Linked DNA regions of Alligator mississippiensis. The protein of the gene in region 2 binds, or shares a complex with, the protein of the main gene of each other region. Links are inferred from orthologs where the notes say so. Each region holds a gene or a part of one and is shown on either strand. Other genes may lie near its edges. The genes, in order: FGF8 and FGFR2.

Region 1 (3,910 bases), about 15 Mb from region 2:
AAAGACGCACATCTCTTCCCTTTCTGCCTTTTCAAAAGCCGGCCCTGATTTATAGCCCGGGGGCTGCTCTGGCCTCCCTGCGCAGGACCCGGAGCCCTGCAAGCCCCCGGCCCGGACACGGGCACAGGGTGGGCTCAAGCCTGCCCGGCTCCACCCCGGGCAGGGATCTGGGGGGCCGCGGCTCCGAGCCGGGGCAGAGGCCGGGAAGGGCACGGAGGCCGGACGGGCGCGTCCCACCGACAGCACGGCAGATCCCCGCGAGCGCCCGGCCCGCCGGGAAGGCGGCAGTAAAAACGTCCGAGCGGGCCGAGCGGTCGTTTGAGAAGATAAATCAGCCCTTTTCTTCCCGTCCCCAAACCCGCGAGCCGGACGCCTCGTGCGCGGGGCTGCGCAGCAGCGAGTCGCCGGGTCGAGCGGGGCCTTTTTTTGTTTGTTTCTTTTTCTTTCTTTCTTTCTTTTTTTTTTCGGAAAAAGCTTCAGGTTTTCGCCTCCCGACGTGACAGATTTATCCCAGTAAAATTATGTTTCTTGCTAAAACGTTGAAGGGAAAGTGGCTACGTAAATGCTGAAAAAATGCAGCGAGACACACTTGATCCCCTAACTGGACTGCGAAGAGCAGAAAGTATTCAGGAAATGTTAAAAAAGGTGAAAGTAAGAAGAGTTTTAATCGCTCTTCCAGACATGGGGGTCTCTCTGGAGATTCATATAGAACAATCCTGAACCTCTACTTTCACATTTACAGACTCGCAGCCCTTTTAAAACTTTACATCTGAAAAACGGCTTGTTCTTTCTTGCTTTTTTTTTTCCTCCTGGTTTAGCTCATCCGTCATTTTTCTCTCTCGCTCCTCAAACGCTTCCCCTTTTTATTACGTTTTAATAGAGGTTTGCAAGCCGCCGGGAGCTCCCCCTGCCTCCTCCTGGCCTCGGTTAAACTTGGTCGTGATTTCCAATGTGCAGTAGCCGCCTTTTAAAAAACACACGCGCCGGAGACGCGGAGAGCGCGCCGGGGCCGGGGGGAATCGCCTCGCGCCCTTTTGATCCGGAGGTGGTTTGGGATAAGGCGGCTGGCGGCCGAGGCGACGCGGGGCGCGAGCGTTTAAGTGCACACTAACGTTTCCAAGCCAAAGCACCGGAGGGGAAAGAAAAGCCCGGTGTTTCCACGCCTCTCCCCGAGTAAGAAAGGGAAACCGCTGCTCCAAGGAGAAGCAGGCGCAATTCCTGCGTGCGGTGCGGTCCCGCGGTGCTGCACCGTGCGGGCGAGGGGCCTGCCACCTCTGCGGGCTCTCCTGCCGTGCTGATGTCGGGGTCTGACCGCTTCAACGTGCAACTCGCACACGCGCCACCCAGGCACGGAGCGGCTCTCCCGCGCACCCCACGAGGGAGCCGCCTCTCGGGGCCGGACCCTGCGCCCGGATCCTTCCCGGCACCGGACGGCACTTGTCCCTTGAGAGTCGGCCTCCCCGGCCCCAGCTCGAGGACCGCTCGGGATTTCTGGCAGAGAGCCGTGCCCTCGGAAAGGGTCCGCTCAGGGACAGGGGACTCCACATTTATTTGGGAGGGGGATTTCTTTTTTAGCTATATGTGCAACCCTGGAAACAACCTGCCTCTCGGCCCTGCCAACGACCCCGCGCACGGTCTCCCAGCCCCGCGAGGCGGGCGCCCTTCACCCCTCCCGGCTCCCGAGGAGGCCGGGACCGGCCCGTGCCCTTACCGTGGGCGTCCCCGTCCTCCGCCATGGCGTTGATTTTCTTGTTGTCTAGGATCTGGACGTGCTTCCCGCTGGTCCGGCTGTACAGCTGGTAGGTGCGGACGAGCCGCCGGCTGAGCTGGTCCGTCACCAGGCTTTGCTCCCTCACATGCTGTGTAAAATTAGGTGGGGACTGAACAGTTACCTTTAGGAAATTAAAAAATATACAACACACCATTACGATCTCTGCTCCTCGGAGGGGCTGACGGGCTGCGCACGGGTCCCCGGCCTCCGGGGGCATCTTAGAGGGCCGCGAGCTGCGCTCTCGGGGGCTGCCTGCACCCGGCCCGGTGGGGAGATGCCCCGTCCAGGGCACTGGACGCAACAGGCTGCCCTGGGTCGATGCCGCCAAGACAGGAGCTGGGATTTGCCCCCCCGCCCATCTACCCATGCTATTATTTATGCACGCAGAGCCGCGTAGGGCTGCTAACGTCCTTTTTAACGAGGGCCGTCTCTTCCCAGCCCGCTGCCCTGCCTTCTCCGGCCCTTGCAAGCCACCTACTTGCGACTGCTGACGGCAGCCCCCGAGCTCCCTGCGTGGAGAAGCAAGAGGCCTGGCCCGGCCCCGGCCCTGCTTGCATTTCTCATCAGCTCCTTTTATCCCGAGGCCGGTCGGGGGCATCGGACCCCGCTCCTGACACAACCAGCCTGGACTTTTCCTTCTTGCCCCCGGCTCCCAAGCCCAGCTGGCCCCCGACATCTCTACACATCCCAGCAAACGCGGAGGAGACGGATCCTTTTGGCCTCCGAAGGGGGCACAGCGCGGCCCCCTGGTCTCCCCCTCCCCGTGCGAGACGCGAAGGCTGCCTCGCCGCCTCCCGCACGGAAAAATAAAAGGGGAACGATTTAAAAGCAATCGCTGCCCGAAGCGGAGGCCGCCAGCGCTCTGCCCCCGGCAGCTGGGTCTCTCTGTCTGGATGCGCCCGCTTCGTCGAGGGGGTTTGGGGGCATCCGAGGAGGGCTTGGCCCCTCCTGGCTCCCTTCCCCTCGCTCTCTCCCACCGCCCCGGCACCTGTAATCTCTCGCACCCCCTTGCAAAGCCCGGCTCCTGGCCCCACAGCCAGGCGGGTTCGGTGCCAGCCCCGCCTGCCCCGATTCCTCCCTTTGTTTTGGGGGCTGCGCCCTCCGAGATTGCCCCGCGCGTCCCTTCCTGCCCCGGGACTTCCAGTCTCGTTCCTCCCGCCCCTCCCGGGGCACCCGGCCGGGCCGGCGCTCACCTGAGCCTGGAGGCAGAGGACGAACAGGTGCAGGAACCTGGCGGGAGAAAGCAGAGAGGAGGCGGGGTGAGCGCGGAGCCGAGCCGAGCCGAGCCCCGACCCGACCCGACCCGGACCCGGACCCGACCCGGCGGCGGCTTACAGCGAGCGGAGCAGCGGGGCGGGCGGCGGCATGGTGCGGCGTTGGCGGCTGCGGGCGCTGCTGCCCCGGCCCCGGCCCCGGCCCCGGCCCCGGCCCCGCGCGGGGGCGGGCGGGCGGGCGGCGCGCTCCGCGGCGGGGCAGCCCCGGGCTGCGGGAGCCGGGCGAGCGGGCGGGCGGGCGGGCGCGGCGCGGGCGCTGTCAGCGCGGAGCTCGGGGCGCGGGGCCGGGGCCGGGGCCGGCACTGCGGGGCCCACACCGCACCTGGGCGGGGAGGGACGGCCGGAGCGAGGGCGGAGGAGGAGGAGGGAGGGGCGGCGGGACCGGCCCGGCCCGGCCCGGCCCGGCCCGGCCCGGGGGCAGTGGCGGGGGGGCGGGGGGGCGTGCACACGAGTGTGTCTGGGTGTGCGTGCGTGTACCGCGTAGCTGCGCGCACGTGCGTGTGTGTGTGTGTGTGTGTATGCAAGGGAGAGGTGTGTGCGCGTGTGTCCGCATGCATGGGCACGGGGGCTGTGTGCGGGATGTGCGCGCGTTTGTACACACGTGTGCGCACGTGTGACAGGGGATGCGCGGATGTGGATGTGTCTGTATCTGCATGGGGGGGGTGTCGTGGGGGGGTGCAGGGGGTGCGGGCGCGTGTGCATGCATGTGTACATGTGTAGGGTGTGTGTGTGTGCCCATGTGTGCATACATGGGCAAGGGGGGGAGTATGGGGATGTATGTGCACGGAGGGGGGTGTACATGGGCACCTGCGCATGCACGCACAGGAGGCATGTGTGTGTGTGTGTGTGTGTGTGTGTGTGTCCA
Region 2 (3,910 bases):
GGTTTCATGTGTCTTCATATTTTCCCTGTAGAAACACCCAACAGTGTACATGAAGCTGGTCATGACAACTGTATGAGAAAAACCAACAGAAAGTGGAGTGTTTGTCCTAAGAGGTAATAAGATGACTGATTAGATACACACAGAGGAAGAATCATGATTTTCACTTTAGAGTCTAAAGAATTATACTTCTATGGGCATGGGCGACTGGTGCCTCCTGAGTCTGGGGGGCACCAGATCACCGATGAGGGGGGTGTCTCCCATGGCCAATTGCCGACCCCCAGCAGCCGACTCTGAACCAGGAGCAGGGGTGGCCCCCCAGCAGCCAATTGCCAAGCCAGCAGCAAAACTGGAAGTGAACTTCTGCTGGCACTTCCGGTTTTGTGGCTGGTGCTTCCAGGGAGTGCACGGCTGATCTCAGGGGGTGCACATGCACACACATGCACCCCTTTGCATTGCCACTGTTTATAGGAAGAAAAAAATACATATAACAATCAGGCCTTTTCTGTCAAAAATTTCCCTCCCCACATAATTGTAACCTAACAATGCTGTAAGCCACCTGGGCACAAAACAGGTTTCCAGACATTCAGTAACATACTGTGTTTTTCAACTCTGTTCTTTCCAACCATCAAGTTGCTCATGGCTCCAAGGACTATTCTGGTGTTTAGCACTTGGTGGAGTGTAAAAATACTGCAGCCAAAGTCTACATTACAGCAGCTATAGTGACTTTCAGAAAGTGTATGTATATACTACATGACACAGAAAGTCAAGGAAGTCAAAAAAACCTCATGCCCTAAATAACTTGCAGAAACTAGCATTAAATCGTTTTGCATTCCTCTGAATCTTAAACACATGGACAAATTTTGCAATAGGAAAATATGTTCACAGTTAAGATGCCTTCCATGACTACAAACATTTTCTGCAGGAGGATGAACAGAATGGAGTTCTGAAGTATATTGGACTATGCTACTTTATCCAGGACATATCCTAGTGACCTACTGTCCACCATGATACCTTACTAAGATCCAACCTGGGATCCAACCTCCTATATGAGAAAGATGGAAGAAAAGGGTGACAGAAAGCTTTAGAGGAGTTTGTGGTGTATTCCTTCTAAGTGAGGAACATTTAAGTTCACAGAGAGGCAATTAGGGAAAATGGGAAGGGGGAAGGGGTGATCACAAACACTACAAATTGGGAAATCTATTTTCACCACAAGTATACCGTATTTATTTGCCCATTTCTTCATGTAAGAGGTTTAACTAAACCATAAGTGAAAGATTCAAGCCATCATGGAAAGTGATACTTCACTATAACATCTTAAACCTAGTATTTTAATGGATTTTTCAGGCCAGAAGTTTCAATTCAGTCATCTAATTTGACCTCCTGCATAACACAACCCAAAAAACTTCTTCCAGTAGCTGCCACCTCAACTAACTTCTGGTCAAGCTGTCTCTTTCAGAAAAATGTTAAATCTAGATTTAACACTTTAAGCAACAGAGAATCCTTCCCCTCCCTATATAAACTGTTCCAGTAGTCAATTATCCTAACAGGAATATGAACCTTATTCCTCATTCCTACTCCAATTTTATTCCAAATTCCTATTCTAAGTTTGACCAACTTTAGTTTTCTTATGTCTTTTCAATGCTACTGAGCCATTTACTATCACAAGTCTCTTTCCTGTGTAGGTACCTTTTAGACCACAATCAAAGTACTTTGTCAAAGGGCTGGTCTGCACAGAAACATGTGACATAGTCTGATGTCCACTAAGGGTGTCCTCAAAGAGTTAGTTCAATGTATCCTGTGCACTGTAGATTCATACCATAGCTTACTGTACCCAAGTTTCCTTACATAGGCAGCTTTTAGACAAACTCAACAAATTGAGCTTCTTTAGTTGTCACTGTAAGGCAGGTTTCCCAGGACCCAGATCACTGTGGTAACTCTTTACTGAAACCTTTCCAATTTGCCAATACTCTTTTTAAAATGAAACCACACTTGGACAGGTTTCTGGCAGCTGTCTCACTGATGTCATGTACAGCAGTACTATCACTTTCCTACTTCTGCCTCCCCATGTTTTATCTCCAAAAAGTGTTTTAGCTCTCTCAGGCACCAGATTGTAACTGCAGCTGGTTGTCTACCATGACTCTATGTTCCAGTCGGAGTTGCTGCTTTTTGAAATACCATCTCCCCTCCTGTTTGTATGACTTTAACACCCAGGAGCAAATAATATAATTATGCCTCTAACTCCATCTATACATGTATGAGTGAAATACCTCAGCAACACTTTTTTTTAAACTAAATTGTCCAGTACCCTTATAAGGAAGAAAAGTATTATTCTCATCCTGAAGTTAAGGAAACAAACACAGGGTTATGGCTTGTCCAAGGCCACCCAGCAAATGTAAGACGGCTTCAGAAATAAACCAAAGTAGTTCCCGGCTTCCAGTACAGTGCTCAACCCAGTGCTGTTACTAAAGGATTTGTCCATCTGGAACTTGCACAGAAAAACAATATCAAACCCACATTTTCCTTGCATTTCCCACTGCTCAGCTAATAAAATAAAACACATAGCATAAAGTATGATTAAATCAAAATGCTAAGGCAAAACACTGTGGCACGAGATATACATGCAAGCAGCTGTTTTCACCATGAGCATAACATACAAACTGATGTACGGTATGCAGTTATGAATCGGCAGGAAAATGTGCTACAAAGATGCTGTTCCTATGATTGTCTATACATTGCAGTACAGAGGACGTCTATTGCGTTTGGCAGAGAAAATTTCCAAATAAAGTGTACGGTACCTGATTGCTTTTTTCCATTCGATATGCGAAGGCTAAAGGAATGCAACACACCAAGGCAGGCAAAGCATGGCTTCAATAGGTGTGTCTAGGTGTCTCTTGCATGTTGCAGCTTGACAGTTCTCTCCTATTGTGTGGGTGGCATTCATACAAAGAGGCTGACTTGTAACTCAGAAATGATATCACAATGCAAAGTTAACTCACTGAGTGCCTTAAGATGAACTGTACACCACAGAGTAATGCTCTGCAAAACAATACTTTCAAGCCATCTCCCTGTATATATTGCAGCAATCGAATTTACAACAATGTTTACTGATTAACATATGAAAAGCCCCCAGATTCTCGGGTGAAGGGTAGGGAGAGGCCTCTGGATTTCTGCAAGGAAAGAGGTAGTTGATTTTTGAGGGTTAGATCTTGGCTACAGTGGGGGTTAAGGTATGGCCATCTGCATAGCCATACTAATGGGCTCAAGGACAGATATGATCTGCATCCCCAGAATTAACCTCTCCTTGAAACCAGGATAAGGTTTACTGATGAAAGCAGAATCTTTACTTGGAGTATATACCAGTGTACATATACCGTATTGTAAATTGTACATACCTTGGATTGTTATTATTGCATGCTGCAACTAGAAGTTGACCCCAAGTTAAGCAAGGTCTTGCTGCTGCAATCCTTTTGTTTTAAACCAAGAAGGACAATGGATATGTTCGGTTGTAAGCGCCCCAGTTACATATTGATTTTTATATAATCAACATTCTTGACAAAGCTGCATTTTGTTTTCATGCTCTGCTCTTTATTATCAAACAATATAAAAAAGTAAACATGTTTTGGCTCTCTCCAAGGGAGCTACGACTTCAAAATTTCCACATTTTCTGGTCCATGTTATTTAAAAAAGATGTGCGTCTTGGCCCAGCACTGTGACGAATGAAAGACTGAGACACATTTATAGAGGGAAAAAGAGACAGAACTGAGAGATCCAGCAGCTCTGAGAATTAGTAGAGATGCTGGGTGAGATGCTTTGTTGCACTTCTAAGAATTCACGGCCGGTGGAAAAGGGTTGTTCCAGGCACGTTCCAGTGGGTAGGAGAGGTCCTTGGCATACTTTGCACCCCCCACAG

The links.
Region 1: the proteins of FGFR2 (region 2) and FGF8 are in contact, whole or in part, in a crystal structure (PDB 2FDB), measured with the Homo sapiens proteins. The link is inferred for Alligator mississippiensis from reciprocal best matches to the Homo sapiens genes FGFR2 and FGF8. Residues at the interface, in NP_000132.3 of Homo sapiens: Glu160, Lys161, Glu163, Lys164, Leu166, His167, Ala168, Val169, Pro170, Asn173, Asp247, Val249, Arg251, Ser252, Ser282, Asp283, Ala284, Gln285, Pro286, His287, Ile288, Gln289, Ile291, His293, Leu309, Val311, Leu312, Lys313, Ala314, Ala315; in NP_149354.1 of Homo sapiens: His53, Val54, Gln57, Asp62, Leu64, Ser65, Arg66, Leu68, Ile69, Arg70, Tyr72, Tyr75, Arg77, Gly80, His82, Val106, Glu107, Thr108, Thr110, Phe111, Gly112, Ser113, Val115, Thr148, Glu149, Ile150, Val151, Leu152, Glu153, Asn154.

Annotation. Positions count from the first base shown.
Region 1 is NC_081829.1:100,259,176-100,263,085, forward strand, and holds the start of FGF8 (fibroblast growth factor 8), read right to left. Parts: upstream 2,958-3,910; 5' UTR 2,448-2,957; coding exon 2,250-2,447; intron 1,893-2,249; coding exon 1,712-1,892; intron 1-1,711. UniProt on the Homo sapiens protein: Plays an important role in the regulation of embryonic development, cell proliferation, cell differentiation and cell migration. Required for normal brain, eye, ear and limb development during embryogenesis.
Region 2 is NC_081829.1:85,695,441-85,699,350, reverse strand, and holds the start of FGFR2 (fibroblast growth factor receptor 2), read right to left. Parts: upstream 2,881-3,910; 5' UTR 2,796-2,880; intron 1-2,795. UniProt on the Homo sapiens protein: Tyrosine-protein kinase that acts as a cell-surface receptor for fibroblast growth factors and plays an essential role in the regulation of cell proliferation, differentiation, migration and apoptosis, and in the regulation of embryonic development.